5 linked regions of the Oryzias latipes genome follow. The protein of the gene in region 2 binds, or shares a complex with, the protein of the main gene of each other region. Links are inferred from orthologs where the notes say so. Each region holds a gene or a part of one and is shown on either strand. Other genes may lie near its edges. The genes, in order: med16, med24, ccnc, med25 and med21.

Region 1 (4,475 bases), on a different chromosome or scaffold from region 2:
CTTTAGCAATGACACGGAGACCAAACCGCTAACTGTTACTGCTAACCAGCCTTCCATTGGTTTTCCTCCAAACAGGGTGAGAGAAGGAGAGAACTTCACCCGGGAGAACTTTTCTCCAAAGTTTGTGGAACCAGACTGAAAGCAGAAGATGTCGTGTCAATTTTTTACTGGTTCTGGGGCTTTTCTACTATGTAGAAGGTGCCTTACCATCTCCACATGCAGAGCCAGTTTGACTCCATTATGCAACCAGCTAAGGGCAATTATGGGATCTCTATCCAAAGAGCTAGACAGGATGCTCTCCCAGCTGTTTACCAAGTGATCAGTCATGGACCAGCACTTAATCTGACCATCGCCATCGGCAGAGAGCAACCGTGATCCTACACACACAAGAACACAAGCACTTGACAAAACAATAACAGTTTAATACTCTGAAAAAAGTCAACTAAAGTAAAGCCTACCTGACTGGTCCCATTCCAGGCAGGAAATGACCTCAGTGTGACCAGAGTTGATAGAAAAGACATCCCAGGGGTGCTCAGTGTCGATGATGTGGATCATGTGACTGACATCTGAAAAAGAGGTTCAGGTAGCCGGGACCAAGAGTTGGACGTGTGTGCGTGTGCGTGTGTGTCTGTGTACCCTTCTCATTGTCGTCACTTTTCAGGTCTGTGGTAAACGCCACCAGGTTCCTGCAGGACCACGAGCACACTACTGGTATGGATGGACAGTGAGCGTTCTTCTGTCGCTTCTCCCAGTCACAGACATATGCCAGTTCCATGTCCAAAGGGGAACAAAGACGCCTCGTCCACACCTGACCTGAATGGGAGACAGAGGAACACATCTGTCACTAAGTGAACACATCTGTATTTCAAAGCAGGTTAGAGGTTAGATCATTGTTAAGGAACAGAATAATTAACCATGTCAAGCATTATATTTAGTAAGTTTCCATTTAATCCTATTTTGATCTATTGTGAAAACATACCCAGTCAGGGTAGGATTCTTAAAACATCCAAAACACTATTTCCATCACAGTGGGTTTTTTTTTTTTAACCAAGTGAAACCCACTGAGATCAGATCTCATCTTCAAGGGTGACCTGGCCAAGAGGTCAGCAGCATACGCCACATGAATAAAGTCACAATATTAAACAAATATGACACAGAATGATGACTAGAGAATTTTACAATGTAAACTTAAAAGTTGAAAGTGAGGATCAACAAAGTGACTTGGTAATGTTAGATGGGAATTTGTGTCATTTGGAGAGTACAAAAGTAGTGAGTAGCATGACATTAATAGCCATCAGTTATCAGTTCACGTTAGAAACACAGACATTGAAGGACGGACCGTTTATATTTGACTCAATATAATGAAGCTGAAAAATCTAAGTGAAGAAAGTTCAGACCATTTATGAGGTTTTACTAAAATATTTTTAAAACGTTTGCAGATTAAATTTGTGAATCTCCAATCTCCATTCCTTCACTACAGGAACTAAATTCAAAACTAGTTTTGAATTTACATTGAGTTTAATGGTCAATGGAGCCAAAACCTCAACTATGAGAAACAAAATCTGAAAAAAATACAGAAAAGCACATTGTCCAATTTTTAAAGAATTCATTCGTAAATTATGGAGGAAAATAAGTATTTGGTCAATAAAAAAGTTCAAGTCAATACGTTGCTATTTACCCTTTGTTGACAATGACAGCAGTCAGACGTTTTCTGTAAGTCTTCACAAGGTTTTCAAAAACTGTTGCTGGTATTTTGGCCCATTCCTCCATGCAGATCTCCTCTAGAGCAGTGATGTTTTGGGGCTGTCACTGGGCCACACAAACTTTCAACCCCCTCCAAAGATTTTCTATGGGGTTGAGATCTGGAGACTGTCTAGGCCACACTAGGACTTTGAAATGTTTCCTATGAAGCCACTCCTTTGTTACCCGGGCAACGTGTGTTTAGGATCGTTGTCGTGCTGAAAGATCCAACCATGTCTCATCTTTAATGCTGATGGAAGGAGGCTTCCCTCCAAATCTGACCATACACTGCTCCATTCCTTCTTTCCTTTACGCAGATCAATCGTTCTGTCATTGCCATTCATTCATTCATTCATCTTCTAATCTGTTTTATCCCTCTCGGGGTCGCGGGGCTGCTGGAGCCTATCCCAGCCACTCGCGGACGAAGGCTGGGGGCATCCTGGACAGGTCACCAGTCTGTCACAGCTGTTATTTCCAGCAAATGAACTTTTGTCATTGATCATTAAGTTATTTTCTATCATAATTTACAAATAAATTCTTTAGAAGTCAGACAATGTGATTTTCTGTTTTTTTTAACTCATTTTGTCTCATATTAGTTAAGGTTTACCTATGATTAAAATTACAGGCCTCTCTCATTTTTTGAATTGTGAGAACCTAAACAATTGGTGGCTGACTAAATACTTTGTTTGCCCCACTGTAAGTAAACCTTGTATGTATTCGGTCATTTATTTAAATTCTACCATAAACTTGAATTTGCTCACATGACAGCACCACGAAACACATCAGTCTTCTGGATGTTTACCCCAAGTTTTTATGAACAACGATGCAAGTTTGAATTTCCAAAAGAAAAGTGTTGCTCGTCAACAGTTCGGTTTTCTTGACTTTCTTTACAAACAAACCCAGCAGCAAAACTCCAGAAAAAACGTGATGCAAATGAAAAGAAAAACCCGCTGACTTAGTCTATTATGATGAACTCACCTATTTGAAACTGGCTTTCAAAAGTTAACAGCCAAAACTGAAAGAAGTTTTAAGAACGACTTCAGAAAGAAAACATAAATACGAGTTGGAAAGAACGGCACTTTGAAAGAAACAAAGACCGCAGCAGAGACTGGCGCGTGTCAGGCCCCCGTATATGTGTGCCTATACAGCTGCCTGTCTGAAAAATATGTTTAGAGTACGAAATAAGAAAATTAGGCCCAGACAATTTATTACAAAGCTTTCAACTTAAGTAAAAACATTGAAGTAATTAAAAATCCACACTGTGTCTTCTACAACGTTTCTAATAAATACTTTTATGATCCTATTTTAGTCTGGCTAAACCCGAGGTAAACCTTTTTTTCCCTCTGTAACTTTATTAACAAGGAGCAAAATACAAAGTTAAGTTGAATACATTTTCAATTCTCACTCTCAAAAGAAAAAGCAATACTTCAAAATGCTTTTTCATTTTATACTTCAACCCAGCTTTTTCTGTCACTTAATTAAAATGATAAAGAAAATGGTATTTGACATTTCATTTTCAAAAAGGTCCCTGGTAAATGTGTAGCATAATTCATTTAGAAATGTCTAATTTGACAATTAAAATGGATTAACAGAAATGCTTTTTAATTTTCAAAATGTAGCTGCATTTTTTGACTCAAAATTAAAAAGAAAAAGCAATATTTCAAAATGCTTTTTCATTTTATACTTAAAACCGCTTATTCTGTGTCATAATTAAAACGAAAATGCAAAGAGGGGATTGCATTTGCATTTTAACATCCACCCTGCGCACCTTGTCACAATATTCATTTCGAAAAAGCATTAGCAGAGGGGAGGCGGGGCGATGACGTCACTGCTTTCTCTGTGTGTCCGGCTGCTGACTGACGCACACACACGCACCAGGAGCAGACTGTGTTAGTGGCAGAGAAGAGGGTTTTGTGATGGTTGTGAACTTCTGATGAGTTTCCACAGCTTCTCAGGACTAAGTAGCTGCATGTCCGCCTTCTGCGGTCCTCCTCCTGACGCACCGCGATCGCTGAAGGCGGAAATGCTGCGGCGATCTGAGAAACCATCATATGAATTTGTGTTTCCAGTGGTGTCCAGAACAAAATAAAGACTGATTCCCACATATTTACACATTTATTTGCAGCTTTGCGGTGAATTTGCTGTATTTTTTGAATTTGATGTATTTTCTCTCATATATTCCTGTTTTGATGATTTTAATACTCATTTTGTTAGTTATAAGTTCTCTGTTTTTAATAAAGGAATGTAGGGTGTGAGAAATCTGTCAAAAAGAAACATAGTCATAAAAACAAAGTTGCAAAAAAAAGACATGAAGACAACATTTTAATTTTACGTTTGAATGCGATTTGTCTTTGTTATAAATACGACTCTTGTTTGTCTTGAATACCAAATTTACCTTGATAACAAACTGTCAAAAATACGTCACATGGTCACAGGCATACGAGTCCCAAAACGTTGATTCAACTGGGTGAGCATGTACATTCATGTACATTGGAGACTCTTCTTAAACTAATAGAATTACATTTTTTAGACTGCTATGATGAATGAATGAAAGAATGTTATAGGTCTGGCTGGAAATCTGTCTTAAAACCAAAAAAAAAGTCATTAACATCACTGTCCTGCTGAATTTCTTTGTTGTCAGGTGAGAACACCTGGGGGGCGTATTCCAGGAAGCATGTTTAAACTACCCTGACTTTAAGCCTGAACTCTGGCTGAAGTCCGCCTGAACTTGCTTA
Region 2 (4,249 bases):
AGTCTTATCTAAATGGGCATCCTTGGGGGACAGGATGAGATCTTTCTCATTTCCTGGATCTCAACTCTTGGTAATCATCTTTGTGTGCCTAAAGGCTGTCGGTGAATTTGAGAGAAAAAAGAATAAGAAAAACAGAAAAGCCTAACTAGAACTCACTTTTTAGTCTTTTAGAGGAACACCAACCAAATTTGGTCTCTGTTTTCTACTTTTTCTTTTTTACTTCTATTTGAAGTTTGTTGGAATAAATTGACTAAAGCTAAGAATTTTAATATAGTCGTCTTTTGTGTGCTTTCACTTGTTCAAAAATAAACAATACTGTTAATATTAATAACATTATTTATAGTAAATGTGAAATACTTTGTATTATAAATGTTTATTATGTTGTAGTTCTGCAGCTTTAACTGAGAAAGTAACTTGAAAGTGAAACAGACGTTATGTAATGAACCACAATGATGATACAATAATATTGTAAGATGGGGGATCACTTTTGAATAACAATAACAAGTAACATAATAAAGGTTGGAAGTGAGAAAAGCCAGAATCAGCACATGTCCTAATCTCTGAAATGAAGCCGTGAGAAAAGACACAGAGCTGCAGCCACAGTCCCTCTGATCACCCCTGTGGCAGATGGAGAGCTGTCACCACGCCTCCTCAACAGAGCCCTCAGTGTAAGGTAAAGGAGAAAAGATCATTCTCTCCAGACACACCTCCACACAAACACGCAACTTCATCAGTCCTCTAACACTTGTCCACCTAATATGCACTGATCATCTCTTTCGGTCTTACATAACTCTTGTCCCAGGACACAGACCTCACTCTAGTCAGTACATCATCTCCAGTAACAAGCAGAAAGAAGCTCTTTGTTGGCCCTGACTAATACAAGATTGGTCTGATGGAGATTGATGCAGAGAAAGGGTTCATTTTATTTTTGCAAAACAAATTTTTGTGCACACAAAAAAAAACAAAAATCGAACAAAGAACAAAAGCTCAGAAGCTTTTTTTTATTTTAGATTTTTAAATTAAAAGTGCACTGTGGGTTCCATAAATGTAAATTATTACTACATCATATTGTTATTTACTTATTCCTGTCTTCTCACTGTAAACGACTGGCCCGGGACCAGAGACGCTAATTTAAAATGACAATAAAGATTCCTGATTCCTTATTATTCTAATTTAATCATTGTGTTCATTTTGAAAATATATTTTTCATTATTCTTGCTATTGGGTAGTGATTTTCCAACTTTTTAAAAAAGAAAGAAAAAAGCTGAAATAAGCTTTTTTTTTTTTACTGCAAACTACATTTTAGAGTCCCATTCAATTTCGGATCTACTTCATAAGTTCTGTGGTTAACAGCGACATCTTGTGGTAGTAGACAGATTCTGCAGTCGAAGGTTGAGGCTTAAAAGCGAAAAACATCATTATCCAATCATCGAAAAGAATACTGGTGGAGTGTCGGGAGTAGCCAATGAGCGGCGGTGTTTTTCACAACAGCAATGGGGGTATCCTGCATTGTGGAGCTGTGAAACTAAAAAACAACCACATCTTGCGCTTTAACAAAACGAGAGCAGGTAGATATGAATTAAGTCAATAATGAAACTTTGAGAGGTATGTTCTGGCCTTTTCCGGGGACGATTCTGAGTTTGTTCGCGAAACAAGAGACGTTTAGTTTTTTTCTGTTAGCTAATATTGAGAAGGTATGCTAACAGCGAATCTAACAGCTGCATTGACTTGACCCAGTGTTTATATGTTAAAACGTGTGGCAATTTTGCTATTTTTTTGACATAAGTGAGTTAGCTATTCTCTAACAGATACGTGTGTTCGCTCCTTTCCAGCATGAAGGTGGTTAATTTGAAGCAGGCTATCCTGCAGGCGTGGAAAGAAAGGTGGACAGACTACCAATGGGCTGTCAACATCAAGAAAAACTTTCCAAAGGGAGCAACATGGGACTACCTTAACCTCGCAGGTTGTTGATTGTGATAAACAACGTCGGCGTTTCATCCTATAACATGTATGCATTTAATTTTCATTATTTTCTTTGTGTTTTCCAGAAGCTTTGATGGAGCAGGCAATGATTGGTCCATCCCCTAACCCACTCATCTTATCCTACCTTAAATATGCTATAAGTTCACAGGTTGGAAAGGAACTTTTATTTTGAAAACTGAACACACACATATATATACACATAAATGTGTATATACATAAATGTGTGTATATATATATATTTTTAAATAATGACTGTTAATGTTTCACTTTTCTAGATGGTGTCCTATGCTAGTGTGCTCACAGCCATCAGCAAGGTGTGTTTGATCATAAAAAGGACAGAAGATTCGCATTTAAATGGATCTCTGCTGCATTTGTAACCAATGTGTTTTGTTTATAGTTTGACGATTTCTCGCGGGACCTCTGTGTGAAGTCATTGCTGGACATAATAGACATGTTCTGCTGTCGCCTAAGGTCTGAATACTTCTGAGTAAACACCACTATTCTCTCCTTGTGACTTTCTCTTGTACATTTTTGTTATTTTATTTATTTATTTTTTGGACAGCAAATTTGTCAGGGTTTTAAATCTTCAATCTGCCTCACTTTAACTTGGAATTTTCAACAATTTTTATTGATATGTTTTTTTTTTAATTAAATCTTAACTGATTTACTTGTGTGCCAAGCCTTGTCTTATTGTTATTTCCCCAATACTTCACTTGCATATTGTATTTTATCTTATATTTGTACTATAGCTTTAATTGTTAATACTGTACATTGTTGTCTTCTCACTCAGCTGCCATGGCAAAGCAGAGGAATGCATTGGGTTGTGTCGGGCTTTGCTTGGGGTGGTGGTCTGGCTGCTGCAGGCCTGTGCGTGGTACTGCGAGAACCTGAGAGAGCTCGGACCGGTACCCAGCATAGAGGCTATTCTCAGAACATGTCAGGAGAGGCTTCATACCCTGATGAAAAGCACCAAGAACAGAGCTCTGGTTCATATCGCCCGATTAGAAGATCAAGGTTTGGGAATAAAATATTGAAAGACAATATTGAAATATGAATGTTATGGAAGAGAATGTAGGCATTTGTGCACACAAAGGTTATGGTCTTTGTTTGCATGTTCACCATTTGTAAGGTTTGATGTGAAATTCCTCTTCCAAAGGGTCCTGGAACAATGTGGAGCAAGCAGTGATTAAAGTTACGGAAGGTCTTGGAAATGTACCAAACCAAACATTAAGGACTTCACTGGAAGAAAGTTTGTTTTTAGTAAAAAGGTGAAGGTTCCTCAGCCACTAAGCTCTTACTCAAAAGTGTTTTAAAACATTAAAAAAAGTTAATTTTTCTTGGGATGACTCTTGACTCTCCCCAGTATTCCCAGCATGCTCTCTGTGCAGTGTGAGCTTCCAGTGCGTGCCTCCTTCCCATCAGTTCATGCCTTCATCATGCTGGAGGCAACCATGAATTTAATCGGAGAGATCCAGCCTTTGGTGGAGCAGTTAATGATGATCAAGAGAATGCAGGTGAGCTTGAAATTCATGACAAAATATTTCTATAATTTCTGTGATCTTCAGCCCTAAGTCAGAAATAGTCATATTCTTTTTGCAAATATTTTGCAGGTGAATTACCGGTAGTTTGAACATTGCAATTATGACTATGTAAAATATGTTAATTTGTAAAACTGTATTAAGAATTTACACATTTTTGCTCCTTCATGTTGACATAATCAGACCCTCTGAGCCTGAAGAGAACCATTTTTTCTTAATTTACTGTGCAATTACATTAAATTACATTCATATTTAGCTTTTTTAGCTTTGCTTTATACTGAAGTTTTTTATTTGTAATGAATAATTTACCTGCAAATGAAAGTGTCATCTCTCTATCTATCTAACTATCTATCTATCTATCTATCTATCTATCTATCTATCTATCTATCTATCTATCTATCTATCTATCTATCTCTTTATCTCTCTATCTATGACATAACAGAAAGAAGGTTCATGGTTAAATCATGTACGCTGAGCAAAACAATTATGTAACAAACATATTTGGGGTAAAAGTATTTTAAGCCATTTTTCTTCTAATTTTACCTCACAGTAGCATATTGAGAAAATTTCTCTTTGCAAATTAAAATAATTTGATTACATGAAAATTTAATTTAACCGTTGTTTCACAGTAATGGAACTTGTGTACAAAATGTTAAAAAATATTTATTTGCAACAACACATATCCATGAAAGATTTGCAATAAACTTTACATTAATGACATAATAAAA
Region 3 (4,485 bases), on a different chromosome or scaffold from region 2:
ACCCATTTAGAGCCAAGCGTGCAACACGGACATCAAAGTAAGGTAAGAATCTCACTTTGTCCATGTCCACAGAGAGCTCTGCAAACCACTGCCTGGCATCTTTCTGCTGCACCACACAGGCCACATGTAGGCAAGCTGATGGAGGAACAGAAGCAGTAATTAATCCATCTTTTTGAAATGTGAGTTAAACTGCTCTACTTTCAAAACCTAAGAGGCATTTCTTACCTAAAGCTATCATGAAGGGAGGGTAGAGCAGACACAGATCTGTCCTGTACGTGTCGTTCACTATTCGCCTGGTAAAGGCAGAAAACAATGCAAAGCCTTCCAGCGGAAAAATAAGCTAACATCAATGGGTTTTGTTCAAACGAGGCAGAACGTACCATGCTAAGGGCAGCAGCATGTCCTCCTGCCCCATGTCCTGCACATACTGCAGCAGAGGTCTGTAGGGGTGGTACACAATCAGGCAGCAGTCCTGAAAAATTAAGCCAATCAAGGATCAATTCTTCTCTCTATGAAACAACTCATCCTTTTTATCTAGATTTCCACCCACCATTAGCTCCAAAAGGTAAAACTCACATTCTAGAATCTGGGGGGAAAAAAAAGAGGTTTAGAATTATTTCAAAAAGACATTTAATCATGTTTTCACTTTGAAAATGCCCCCCAAAATTTGTGAATTCATTTTTATTTATTAAGTCTCGTCATCAGACTGGCCTTTGACCTCCTGCTGTACAGATGATGACTTTGTTTGCTTTTAACAGCTTCGCACTTCATCATTGTCACACTTTTACTAAGTGTCCAATGTCCACAAGATGAATGATGTTTACGAGTCACGGCCCTCTGCTACCTCAATCTCTGCCGTCTGAACCCCCCCCCCTCCGTAATTTATAGCTTATATAGCATTACGTCAGAGCCGTCTTGTTCTGGAAACTCTGGAGATCTGCGAGGCAAAAGCATTGAGCAGCAAGCCCCCTGACTGACTTTTTTTTTGTCAGCAGAGTGTGAACATTAGCTGAGGAATCTAACGCACTGATAGGCAGTAATGTGGCAACACTGTGATACAGTCTGAAGGCTTCTCGGTAAGCTGCAATGCAGCACATAAATAACTTTGCAGAGGAAGCAGTTTGATGTGACCTCACCTTCTTGAAACTTAAACCAGTAAACCTTGATGGCATTTACTGTTTACCGTCACATTTCTGCATCGTCAGATTTGTTCATGATTCTTAACTTTTTCATAAAATCACAGACGTAATCGGATTACTTCCACTGTGTTTTACTCACATGATTCATTCTGTAAGGAAACTCCTTTGGAAAGGCATAAGAAAATCTTGTTTTTACTACAAAAAAACAGAAGAAAAAAAATTTGTGTTGCTGGAAACTCCAAATGAAAACAGGGAAAACTTAAATTTGAGATCCACAATGTGGGTCACTTACATACAGAGGTGGCGGCTGAGATCAATCTGGTGTTGGACACGACTCCAAATTCCTACAGGAAAATAAGCAATACAAAACAGATTATCGTGTGTACTAAAGAAGCAGTTAAAGACCCTAAAATGTGTCTCACTTATGATTAAAAATGAAATGTAACATGAAATGTTAAAGATGATTCCACCAAATTTATACCTCAACTTTAGAGGCCAGGAACACACAAGTGGGAGCCATGAGCACCGGATCTATACTCTTCAGAGAATACCTGCAAAATGACACAAGGTATTTAAATATTAAACAAACAGATCATGGAAAGAAATGCTGACGACGTCAAAAAGTAAGAGTAGCCAAAGATAATCATGGCTACATGGGTAGTAAGCACAGTATAGTTAAGGGAAAGAATTTAAAACAAAAGAGGAAAGTTTTTTTTTTGTTTTTTTTGCCTTCCTAACTGTTATGCTAATGTCAGCAAAAGTAAACATTCCTTTGTTTACTCATTGATACATCATGTCGACAGCCTTTTGTTACAGGGTTCAATAAACCAGACCAACTTATCCGCTCCCGGACACAAAAGCTGTTGATGCTCTGCAGAAATGAAACTGTCATCAACACTGATGTAATCTCATTAGGGCTGCCCAATATGTTCACACTTTACCCTCCATGAGCTGTCAGCACAAACGTGTAAAATACCAACAGCTTAACTTATGGAAAAAGCGTTTCGAGCTCCTTACCGGGCGTAGAAGCGCTTAAAGTACACAGTCGCAGTAGCAATGACCTGCTGGCGCAGCTTCAGATGTTCGCCCAGAGCTTGGATAACTGAAAAATACCAAATGAAAAACATTAGTTGAAGTGTGTGATTTAGGTTTTGTTCGTGACTATTCAAGATTTTCTCATGTTTTCAAACAGACCCGGAAACAGACCCAAAACCTGCATGAATGTATTAGAAAAAAAACTCACCATTTGCAAAGAAAATCTGAAGCTTCCAGTACTCCTCCTCCGAGAGAAACTTCAGGTCTTTCTGGCGCTCCTTTATGAGGTCCTGTTTGTCCAAGACCCACTGCAGACTTTAAAAGATAAGCAAGATTACTTTATATGATAAATTTATACAGACGTTTGAACGGGTCAAATTCACTTGACTAACAGTAACAAGCTCCTGACGTGACGGCAACAAAACACAACGAAAACAAGAACCATTGCTGGAGCTCAAAGGAAAGAAAGTCCACATTTTTAGTTACAGTGTGTTCCCCAAGTGTTATTTTTACACCACAATGCTATAAGTAAACTGTTAGCTTCAACGCAGAACAAAAATAGCAGCTAGCTAGGCCTCACAAGCGAAGCGGCTGATGATTACGACAAAAACACACACAACGTCGATATTATTTTAACAAAAACTCACTAATGAGAACTCTGCCAAAAGTTACCCGCCATCACTGCAGTTGAGGTAGAAATTTACAGAAAGGAAAATTGTGTTTTTTTTAACCAACAAAAGAGCGGAGACAGCGAGAAAAGTAATTAAAGTGGCAGAGCTGGTGTATCACGAATAACGTTCCGACGAGCCCAAAGATTGGTTCCGCAGTCTCCTGTAAATGTCGGGAAACACGATTACTTCAAAGAGGGTATACTCACATGTTTTGCATGATTAAAACATTTATAAAACTAATTGTTTAAGATGCCATTTACCATGTTTAGACGTTTAAAGTAGATGTGATGAGGCTAGTATATGAGGTTTTCAAGCAACAGAAGGGAAAAAGGAAATAAAGAAAGTGGTCAAATAAACATAGCATCCTTTATTTCAAAGGGTTCATTGATTATCTCCTAAACTCAATTGAATATTAAAGCATTTGGGTAACTAGAGCTTTTATACCATATTTGTTTGTGGTTAAGTCAACTACAAGTTGTTTTTTTTTTTAATTATTTTATTTTGGCTATAGTTATTCTACATTGTGTAAAGGGTTATACCTAATATAGTCTATTAATATTAAAAAAACAAAAAGCAGCAATTAAGGACTTTTGACTTTTAGCGATTTAGCGATCAGCGATTGCAGACATCTTTTCTTTGGTCTAAACAAATTACGTAGCCCTATAGAAAAACAGGAAATTGTATTCTATTGTATTTATTTAATTTCAATTAGCCTTTCGTGAAGTCAGTGGTGTTCTGTTTTTTCAAATGTTTTACTTGTTTTTATTGTAATTAAGACAACTAAAAATCAGTTTGTATTGTTCATTTTGCTTGTACTTAACATTTGAAAGTAATGTTTAATTCAGCTTTTACTTCAAAATTAATTAAGTCCTTCATCATTCGAAGCACAATGTTCTTTCAACAGCCTATAGGCCAAATTATTTGGCTTGTTGTTGATAGATGCCTGTGCAGGCATTCATACTTGGTATGGAAGGGTTCAGCATTTCACTGTAGTGTTAGGGGAAGGGCCAAGAAGTGTATAAAGACCCCACCTCCTCAGACTGACAGAAGAAGCAAAGGCTCCATTTCCAGTTTCCAACTACAGTTGCATCAACTTAAAAGCCACCATGAGCCGAAGCCCGGAGAGGATGTCTTCATACCGCCGTTGTTTTGAGGACAACATTGCCTCAACATCCCACCTCCGGGTTTCCAGTCCTTCTCCCACCAGGAGAGAGAACCGCCACCGCTCAGCCAGCTTCAACCGAAGTGGCGGGTGGAAGTTGGGGGGGCATAGAGCACTCACCAAGCAAAAACTGACAAGGTAGGTCATCACCTCAGCCAGCTACACAAAAAGCCCACAACACAAAGCCACTTACACCATTATTTTTGGGCTCCTGCAGCAGTTCAAGTATGGGGGTCCTTTGTGTAGGTTCATCCCTGGAACCGGGGAATAAGATGGATCTGGATGTGGCTGCAGCACAAAACCAGGCCTTCAAGTTGACACGCACCAATGAGAAGCAGGAGATGGTTGTTCTCAATGATCGTCTGACAGTTTATATTGAAAAGGCAAGATACAAAGATTTACAAGTCGAATATGCAGCTTTTGCTTGGCTGTCACGTTCACACTATGACAAACCTTAAAACCTTTTCTGTGTTTGGTG
Region 4 (3,714 bases), on a different chromosome or scaffold from region 2:
TTTTATGATTTAAAGAAGTGAGGCTGTTAAGGATCCTTTTCTAGGAGTGTTAATCCTGTTTCTGTCCACAAGGTGGACTGAACACAAAACCTTGTCGTGTTGATCTCATTAAAACTCAAAGGTTTTTGTGAGATCTGTTTTGTTTTTAGCTTCGACCTTTTCCTTTGGTCGGTTTTTTAGTGCACCAAAACCTCTAAAGAAACAGGAAAAACCTGAGGATTTCCTGTAGGTGAGCTCTAAAGCGCAGCTTGAATTCAGTTTCTACTGTTTGCATTCCTGCAACATTTTTTGATTGGACAGAGGAGCTCAGAAGTAGGTTATGTCCCGAAGCCCGGGCCCTGTCGCATAATTAAAGCCGGCTCCCATGTCAGGGCCTTAATCTGCCCTGTGGCCCTCTGCAGGCGGGCTGCGTCCACTTCCCCCACACCACCTCCCCCTGTGAAGTCCGCGTGCTGATGCTGCTCTACTCCTCCAAGAAGAAAATTTTCATGGGCCTCATCCCCAACGACCAGAGCGGCTTCGTCAACGGCATCCGGCAGGTCATCACCAACCACAAGCAGGTCCAGCAGCACAGAGCGGTGAGTGGCCAGAGAGGGCGGGAGGCTGGGAAAGGATTTTGGGGGTGGGTGGAGCTAAAAGATGTGATAATGAGGAGGATTTAGAGAGGAGCTCCAGGGAGCTGAGCAGCTTCTTAGCAGTCCGCTGCATTGTTACTGACATTTCATTTTTCCAGCACGGCAGCTGCTGCAGACTTTTTCAAATCAAAGTTGGTGTGAAGGAGAACGGATGAACATGTCAAAATAAAAGCACATTCATTCAGCCACATTGTGCAATGATACTTGTATATTTTATATTGTGATTAACCTTAATGCCAACATTTCAAAATACAGTGGCCCATCAATATATTGAGGTTCCCTTTTGGCTAATTTTTTTATTTGCAATTTACACTTTTTTCTTCAAAACAGTGCACTGGGTTCTGCATCCTGATTGGCTTTTGACCTTGTCAATCAATCTTTGTTTTCCTTTTAATAATACTGGACGCATTTTCTATGAAGATTTGAATTTTAAGATTTCAAACAAGGTTTTTGTCTGAGAAAAGTCCCTAAAGTGTGAAGTGAGGAGTTTTACAACAATTAGTAATCTTTCTTTGTAGATGTCAGTTATTGCAGGTTATTTTTAGAATGTAACCCTGCAATAAATATGGGACCACTATATTTCTTTATATATAGAGTTAAAAATGGGGGGGTATCAGAATTAGTCAAAAAATTGTTTAAAATCCCCGTCTGGGTAAACCATAGACGGTCATTTTAGCAAAAAAAATCCTTCAATTTTCAGGTAATGAAGGAAAGAAAATGTTATGTTTCCGTTGAAAGTTTTCTATCTTCAAATCCTGATAAGGGAATTATAAAAAAAAATAATAAATACACGAATGTTTCATGTTCAACCCCCCTGAAGTAGAAGCTCCGCTGCCGCAACCGATTACGGAAAAATTTCAGTGAAGTCTCTGCAAACCGGAAACCCCAGAGAGGAGGTGATTGTGAGAGTCTCCTCAGGATTAACACTCCACTGCATCACGGATGAGAGGAGCTGCATGACTGGGAAACAATGCAGCATCCACACAAGCTGCACATTTCCCTCCACAGGAAAGATGCTCTCCTCAGGTTTAAGAGTTGCATCAGGTTCTTTCTCGTCCTCTGCTATCATAAGTCGTTGTTTGCTGATCCTGCTTTATGTCGTTGTAAAGCAGTCTGGTTTGTGTTTCATCACACGGTCTGTTTCGCATTGCTAACGAGAAAGCAACCTTAATATGATTCAAATTTAGAGTTGGGGCCAGTTGTTGAGGTTTCTGTCAGGAAAGTTCCTTGAACAACATTTAGGAACTGCATGTTCTTTTCTCCAAAGCGATGCTGGATCGTATGAGTTACAGCAGCTGAATCATGAACAGAGAAACAAGCTGCTGCTCTGTGGCTTCCTCTAAAGGCCTTAAACGCTCTGCTGCCGTCAGTCAGAGAACATGCCATGTATCTGCAAAAATCCCAGGGTGATTCAGCGAGACGGATGGCTAAAAGGGATGTTTCATCACACTGCTTTTTCCCAGAGTCCTATTAGTTTCTCTGTGGTGTGAGAAGCCCCCTCCTTCCCCTGTTGTCTCCTCCTCAGTGGGGAGGCGCACAGTTCACAACAGCAACTGCAGAGGAGAGGGAGCTCAGGAGCAGCTTCTAGACGGGACTTTGCAGATAAACTCTTTTTTTTTTTTCCCCAAATAATGGCCGCTTCCCTTTCTGCAGCCTGCTGAACAACAACAGGTTTTCTCCTCCGTTTATGCTGCTGCAGTGATTCATGTTCAGCCGCATGTGGACGGTGTATATCCCCCCCAGATTTACTTCATTTTAACCGTGAAATCCGGGGTGGCAAACACCTCTGCAGGTGGTGCTTCAAGTGAAATCTCTTCTTCCCTTTGTGTTTGCTTTTGCTGCCCTAACAAAGAAATGCAGAATGGAGCCTCACGCACCTTCAGCATTCTTGACTCAGTAAATGCCAATTACACAGAGCAAATATGCAAATTCTAAATATACATGATCTACAAAGTCTATTTATTCCTGCAAAAGAAAGGGTGTTTTTTTTTTTAAATAAACATTTTCAAACTAAAAATCTGTTTGTGTTTATAATGTTGAGTAAGGATGAGATATGAGATACAGTACTCCAAATCCTGTTTTTGGCGTTTTTCTGATGATGGAGGACATGTATAAAGAGAATTTAGCTGAGTATCTCTTTATACAAATTGTTATTAATAATGAGCAAAAAAATGGCATTGAAAGAGATCGTAGAAAATACGCTGGGCGGGCCACTAGCTCCCTGCTCTGAACCCTCAGCATCAAGGAGGGGAAGGGGGGCGGGGTTGCTCTGTGCCAACTGTCCTGCCCACATGAATTTGAGCTCCATGCCAGGAATGTATGTGTTGAATTCTGTCTCACACATAACCTTGTAATAACCTGCACAGAGAACACAATTAAAAACAAAAAAATAATTGATTATTAACATTAAGAAATAAAACATAAGATTTGTTTTTCTCTAGTGAAGTTTAAAAAGTCAAGATTTTCTGTAAATAAATTTGAAATCCAGTTTCTCCTTTTTCATCATTTCACTTTTAAGTTTAGGAAAATTCTTTTGATTTTAACTTTTGTGAATGATTCCGATTTTCAAATTAAGAAAATAAAGTAAAAAGATGATCCAACTTTGAAGAAGTTATTCTCACATTGGTCTTAATTTAGTAAAAGTAAAGACCTAAAGAAAGACAACGTTGTTTTTTTCTAAATTCCGTTAATCCGGTTGTGTTTTTCTCAAAGGTTTTTCTTTGAAGTCATCAAACATGAATCTCAGTCTCAGCAGCTGGTTTTGGAGGCTGGAGCTCCAAACGTTCCTCCTCTCCAATGATGAAGCAGCTTTGTGTTTTGGTCACAAATGATCAGTGATTGATTGTTCAGTCTTTCTGTTGTTTTTCTGCTGTCATCTGAAATCGGGAATGACGAGCATCCAACAGGGAAAAGGATGAAAATGACCTAAATGTTTGTGTTTTAGTCTGACAGTTTACTGGCAGAGCGTGATTGGATGATTCGATTTTCTACTTATTGAATGGCATCATAATTTACTGTACATAAAGTTAGTTTTCTGTTGTTGAGTATTTTTAGCAACCAAACAATGGAAAAACATGAA
Region 5 (4,489 bases), on a different chromosome or scaffold from region 2:
TAACTTTGCTTTCAGGAGGAAAATCAATCTATTCATCCATTTTCTTGTATCCCTTTTGGGGTCTCAGGGTTGCTGGAGCCTATCCCTGCAGCTGTTGGACGGAGGCACGGTTCATCCTGGGCAGGACGTCAGTCGGCTCATGAGGAAAATATTTAAAATAAAATAAAATAAAACATCAAAATCCAAGCAGAATCTTACCTGTTTCATGGCTTCTACCCTCTTGTTGAGAGATGTTGTCTGTTCGATTAACATCTCGGCTACGTTGTCATGGTTACGGAGCCTTTCTACCAAGGACTTAGCATCTGCCAGGACTTTCTCTAACGTACAGTTCATGTCTAAAGGGGAAAACATTAAAGTAAAATCGATGAGCAGGACATTTTTTAGAAAATATCAATCTGGTTTTAAAGAAATGTGAAAACTTAAGAAGAAAAAAAACATCGAGTTCAAGTCTGTAAGTAATATAACAAATTGGGCAATTTCCTTCATAAAACTGTTTTACTCTTTTGCTTTCTGTTTGTTCAGTTTTAGTGAGATAAAAACCTAATTACTGTGGTGAGTAATGAACATCTGGAAGTAAAGAGTAGTAGATCCCTGCATTTTTCATTTACTTACACATTAGCGTTAAGATACTCAGCGTCTTACAGATTTAAGATGGAAAGTTAAATGATAGAAAGTGATGTAAACAGTACAAAAAGCAGGGAAATTGGTTTTAAGCAGATTACTTTTTAGTTACAATACTTATCTTAAATCTTTGTTTAGAGTTTAAGGGAATACGTAGCTCCGTTTATGAAATGCACCCATCATGACTGGTTGAACATTCGCTGCTAAGCATCTAATTTTGCCAATGTCGTGTTTGGGTAATTCAGGTTTAAAAACACACTAAATATTTATTTTAGCAGAATTCGATGTATAACTTCTACATCAAGATTTCCTCCAGTAATAACGAGCAGGAGATGCTGCCCCATACCATCACACTGCCACCACCAAACAATGTAACTTTACCGGGTATGACCCTCCTGCTCACCCACTAAAGCAGGATGTTAACGAATGTGTCACAGTTTAAAAGGGGAAAAAAGAGGATGTCGAACTGCAGGAGATTTATGATCATGAAATATACTTTCTTATGACAAAAAAATTAAGCAAGCAGAAACAAACAGCTAATTATGTCTTTGCTTACGTAGTAGTAAAGTAGTTACAACTAACGAAGCTGCTCTCTAAATCCTGACAAATTTTCCAACAAAACATACAAACGTACCTCATAAACAGTGTACCAAAGCATGTAAAGGTGTCTTAATTTAACACTGAAGTGGTCTTACCTGAAGAGTTCAAAGTGCAACCAGAAAATAGATCTTCTTCCTGATATTTTATGTTGTAGCTCAGAATAGCAACATCATGCTTATGCTAACACGAATATCGGATTATACGTTAAACTTAAACTTTGTTTCTTTAAGACATAAAAAAATATACTAAAGTACAAAAAATGAATTTCGCAAAAGTCTCTATGGTATTCAAGTCTAAAATAACAGGTTTAAGGTTGTTGACGGGCTAACTTTCTTTAGCTATCTTGTCTTCCGAAATGACGTCAATTTCTGCGAGATTTTGTCAATGCTCTCGCGATAGTTGACGACGGACTTTTGTCAAATACAGGTAAATATGGCGGACCGGCTAACGCAACTACAAGATGCTGTCAACTCGGTAAAATAAAAATGTTAAATATTTGACAAAAATTGTGATATAGAAAGACTGTCACATATACATTTAAATATGAAATGTGCATTATATATAGGTTTTAATGGAAGTTGTTTCCTAATTTATTTACTGAGGGCGTAACATCACAGCAGCTAACAATGCTAATGCTAACTTAATAAATAGCATTACTTACTTGGTGTTTGCTGAAGCTGTTTGCCAAAATGCTGAAGTAGATTGGAATTAAAGTTGAAGACGCATGAAAGGAAGTGGAAATTATTTAAAAAGGTACCCAAACCAGGAAGTTACCCTATAAATTGTTCGTTTTGAGACTTATCCTAATCCTGCCGGTCAAAATATGCTGTCAAACAAAGTTAGAGTCCCATTTGTTCTTAGCATGCTAGCCATCCTTTAGTGTAGCTCTATCAGGAAACTCCTGAAAGCACTAAGCAGCTTGTTTGCTCATTTAGCTGGAATATTATAGGAATCATGATGTGTGGTGGTACAGGCCAACCGTTCTGTTATTGTTTAGGTCAGCCGGATGACATTTCTTACTAGCATATGGACTAAAGATATACATATGTATATAACATATGACAATATTGAACTTCAGGCACTCCAACCCCTACACTTAATCTTCATGACATTTCGAAATAAATGCCTGAAGGGCATAATACATATGATTACATGAAGAAGGAGCAAAAACCTAAAAATATTCTAACTTACAAGAAGTGTACTACTTCATAATTCTCTTTTCTCTATGAAAGATTTTAACCGTCTTAAATAAAACCAAAATCTTGCTGAAAATGCTTGAAATATTTGCATACAGCCAGATAAAGAATAATGGAAGACAATTATACCAAAAATGTTTTTAAAATGAAATGTTTAATATAATATCCATTCATTTCCAATGAGTAGAATTTCCTGCTGTGCTTTGTTATAATCCAAGCTTGATTGTTTTGACCTTTCTGTCTGTGTTTCAAACATAAAATGAATCTATTCGGGATGTGTGGTGCAGGTCGGCTTCAGCTCGGTCTGAACTGTGTGTTCTGCTTTTGCGTGGGCAGCTTGCAGATCAGTTTTGTAACGCCATCGGTGTTTTGCAACAATTTGCTCCCCCTGCGTCCTTCAGCAACATCCAGACCGCTATCAACAAGGACCAGCCGGCCAACCCCACTGAAGGTTAGTCTGACGCCGACTGTCTCTAAAGACCCACTGGGTCGCCGCCTGCTCTTCACCTTCAGTCCTCGGTTTACAGTTTCAATTCTGAATTTTCACTTTCGGAGTACAGCCTCATTTTACGTTGGGGTGGGCCTTCGATGCCGTTGGATATTGGGACATGATTGATATCAGGGGCTAGACGGGTCATTCTCTGAATTCGGTGCACATTGGTAATTGAAAATCTTACCTAAAAAATGTGTGTTTCTTAACATTACATCAGATTAAGGACTATTTAAACCTCTGAGAAAAGATGTTTTCCCACTTTAGACATGAAATCCCCCAAATTGTTAGAAAGTTTGTCACTGTGACAGTGTGTTTTGTTACGGAGTAGAATATTACGAGGTTGAAGTTGTCACGTGTCTACATTAGCTAGGATATGAAGCTACATATGGCATGAGGAAAACAAGAATTTAATACATATTTCAAAGCAATCGTTAGCTTTTTCCCAAACAATAGTAAATATCATTTATTAATTTAACAGAGTTGAAAGGTTGAGCTTGACAAAGTCAATCTGACAACAGAAACTATGAAATATGGGTAAGAAAGGAGGCTAATACTTACCTGTCTTCAGAGTATGAGCAGGAAAATATTCAGTGATGTCACTTCCTGGCTGCTGAAGAAGTTGGACTGAACTATTATTTTTTTTTAAAGGGGGATTGATAGGCTGTTACGGGTTGAACAAAACTGAGGGACAGGAATAAACGGTGAAATTTCATAAAGATTCATTTATTTTTGTCATACTTCTTTTATTTAAGTGAAACTAAATAGGCATATGTTTATGTTAGCAGAAAAAGCATGTAGTTAGTGGCTGTTTTTATCAGTTTTGCATTAGCTGAAAAGGTAACTTTGGCTTCGTTCATACTGCAGGCTGAAACGACCCAATTCTGATTTTCTTCCCCCATGCGACCTGTATCTGATCTTTTCATGACAGTCTGAACGACACAGATCCCATCTTTTCAAATGTGAACCAGGCCACTTGGGTATGTGGTCCTGAATCCAATACGTATCCGATCTTTTCAAATGCGACCTCCGTCTGAACGGCCAGGCCACATGAATCCGACCCGTACCTCATTGATACGTTCTCAAACGTCATAATTCTGCGTTGAAGTAGGCGGAACCAGAAGATAAACATCAACCATGGCGGACGATGCTGCTGAGACCAGTCAGTGGAAGGGAAGCGAGGTCACCGATTGGATTCATATTTGGGGTGACAGCTCCATTCAGGCCAAACTCCAGGGCTCTTATCGCAACCGGGCAGTTTTTGAAAATATTTCCAGCAAAATGGCCGAGCGTGGTGTTGAACCTTTCCCACCTGACTTTTTTTTCTTTCCGACTGTGGTCGGAAGCAGGGGGGGGGGATCTTCTCCAGGGCTGAAGGAAGATCCTCCTCCGGAATTAACTTCCCCGTTCGGACCCTCAGATTCTCCAGAGCGGGTTAATAAAGAGTCAATTATAGCATTTATTCTGGGGGAAGCCTTCTTTTATTATCGTTCTCCTTCCTCTGTAACACACAACATGAATGCACGCACCCGACACACTTCCGCTGCCCCCCCCCCCCCCATCCCCCCCCCCACACACACAC

What was found.
Region 1: the proteins of med24 (region 2) and med16 are in contact, whole or in part, in a cryo-EM structure (PDB 7EMF), measured with the Homo sapiens proteins. The link is inferred for Oryzias latipes from reciprocal best matches to the Homo sapiens genes MED24 and MED16. Residues at the interface, in NP_055630.2 of Homo sapiens: Ile539, Leu540, Asn541, His544, Pro545, Glu593, Arg629, Met630, Leu631, Gly632, Leu633, Asp634, Glu635, Asp676, Gln679, Gln680, Thr681, Ala682, Pro702, Pro703, Lys704, Arg705, Pro706, Ile707, Lys708, Glu709, His737, Met738, Gly739, Gly740; in NP_005472.2 of Homo sapiens: His29, Cys30, Pro31, Ser32, Arg52, Asp54, Asp55, Gln56, Glu82, Asp102, Val126, Glu127, Gly128, Asp129, Pro130, Val184, Ser185, Leu187, Thr203, Glu204, Ser205, Cys207, Arg208, Leu209, Arg210, Gly211, Arg212, Asp232, Gly233, Ser234.
Region 3: med24 (region 2) and ccnc share a complex: the UniProt entries of both Homo sapiens proteins name them as parts of the mediator complex. The link is inferred for Oryzias latipes from reciprocal best matches to the Homo sapiens genes MED24 and CCNC.
Region 4: med24 (region 2) and med25 share a complex: the UniProt entries of both Homo sapiens proteins name them as parts of the mediator complex. The link is inferred for Oryzias latipes from reciprocal best matches to the Homo sapiens genes MED24 and MED25.
Region 5: med24 (region 2) and med21 share a complex: the UniProt entries of both Homo sapiens proteins name them as parts of the mediator complex. The link is inferred for Oryzias latipes from reciprocal best matches to the Homo sapiens genes MED24 and MED21.

The regions. Positions count from the first base shown.
Region 1 is NC_019862.2:1,605,168-1,609,642, reverse strand, and holds the start of med16 (mediator of RNA polymerase II transcription subunit 16), read right to left. Parts: upstream 2,877-4,475; 5' UTR 2,719-2,876; intron 814-2,718; 5' UTR 776-813; coding exon 637-775; intron 567-636; coding exon 459-566; intron 378-458; coding exon 208-377; intron 136-207; coding exon 1-135. UniProt on the Homo sapiens protein: Component of the Mediator complex, a coactivator involved in the regulated transcription of nearly all RNA polymerase II-dependent genes.
Region 2 is NC_019877.2:9,579,848-9,584,096, forward strand, and holds the start of med24 (mediator of RNA polymerase II transcription subunit 24), read left to right. Parts: upstream 1-1,448; 5' UTR 1,449-1,568; intron 1,569-1,574; exon of another isoform or gene 1,575-1,694; intron 1,695-1,832; 5' UTR 1,833-1,833; coding exon 1,834-1,963; intron 1,964-2,048; coding exon 2,049-2,131; intron 2,132-2,258; coding exon 2,259-2,297; intron 2,298-2,380; coding exon 2,381-2,454; intron 2,455-2,773; coding exon 2,774-2,997; intron 2,998-3,139; coding exon 3,140-3,251; intron 3,252-3,346; coding exon 3,347-3,497; intron 3,498-4,249. UniProt on the Homo sapiens protein: Component of the Mediator complex, a coactivator involved in the regulated transcription of nearly all RNA polymerase II-dependent genes.
Region 3 is NC_019882.2:15,127,993-15,132,477, forward strand, and holds the start of ccnc (cyclin-C), read right to left. Parts: upstream 2,980-4,485; 5' UTR 2,854-2,979; coding exon 2,822-2,853; intron 2,490-2,821; coding exon 2,383-2,489; intron 2,242-2,382; coding exon 2,157-2,241; intron 1,691-2,156; coding exon 1,621-1,690; intron 1,484-1,620; coding exon 1,432-1,483; intron 1,335-1,431; coding exon 1,279-1,334; intron 587-1,278; coding exon 551-586; intron 473-550; coding exon 381-472; intron 294-380; coding exon 226-293; intron 136-225; coding exon 56-135; intron 1-55. Other genes in the region: glial fibrillary acidic protein, read left to right, coding at 3,952-4,145, 4,225-4,390. UniProt on the Homo sapiens protein: Component of the Mediator complex, a coactivator involved in regulated gene transcription of nearly all RNA polymerase II-dependent genes.
Region 4 is NC_019866.2:3,594,735-3,598,448, reverse strand, and holds part of med25 (mediator of RNA polymerase II transcription subunit 25), read left to right. Parts: intron 1-401; coding exon 402-578; intron 579-3,714. UniProt on the Homo sapiens protein: Component of the Mediator complex, a coactivator involved in the regulated transcription of nearly all RNA polymerase II-dependent genes.
Region 5 is NC_019881.2:3,908,892-3,913,380, reverse strand, and holds the start of med21 (mediator of RNA polymerase II transcription subunit 21), read left to right. Parts: upstream 1-1,630; 5' UTR 1,631-1,653; coding exon 1,654-1,695; intron 1,696-2,753; coding exon 2,754-2,868; intron 2,869-4,489. Other genes in the region: fgfr1op2 (FGFR1 oncogene partner 2), read right to left, coding at 199-333. UniProt on the Homo sapiens protein: Component of the Mediator complex, a coactivator involved in the regulated transcription of nearly all RNA polymerase II-dependent genes.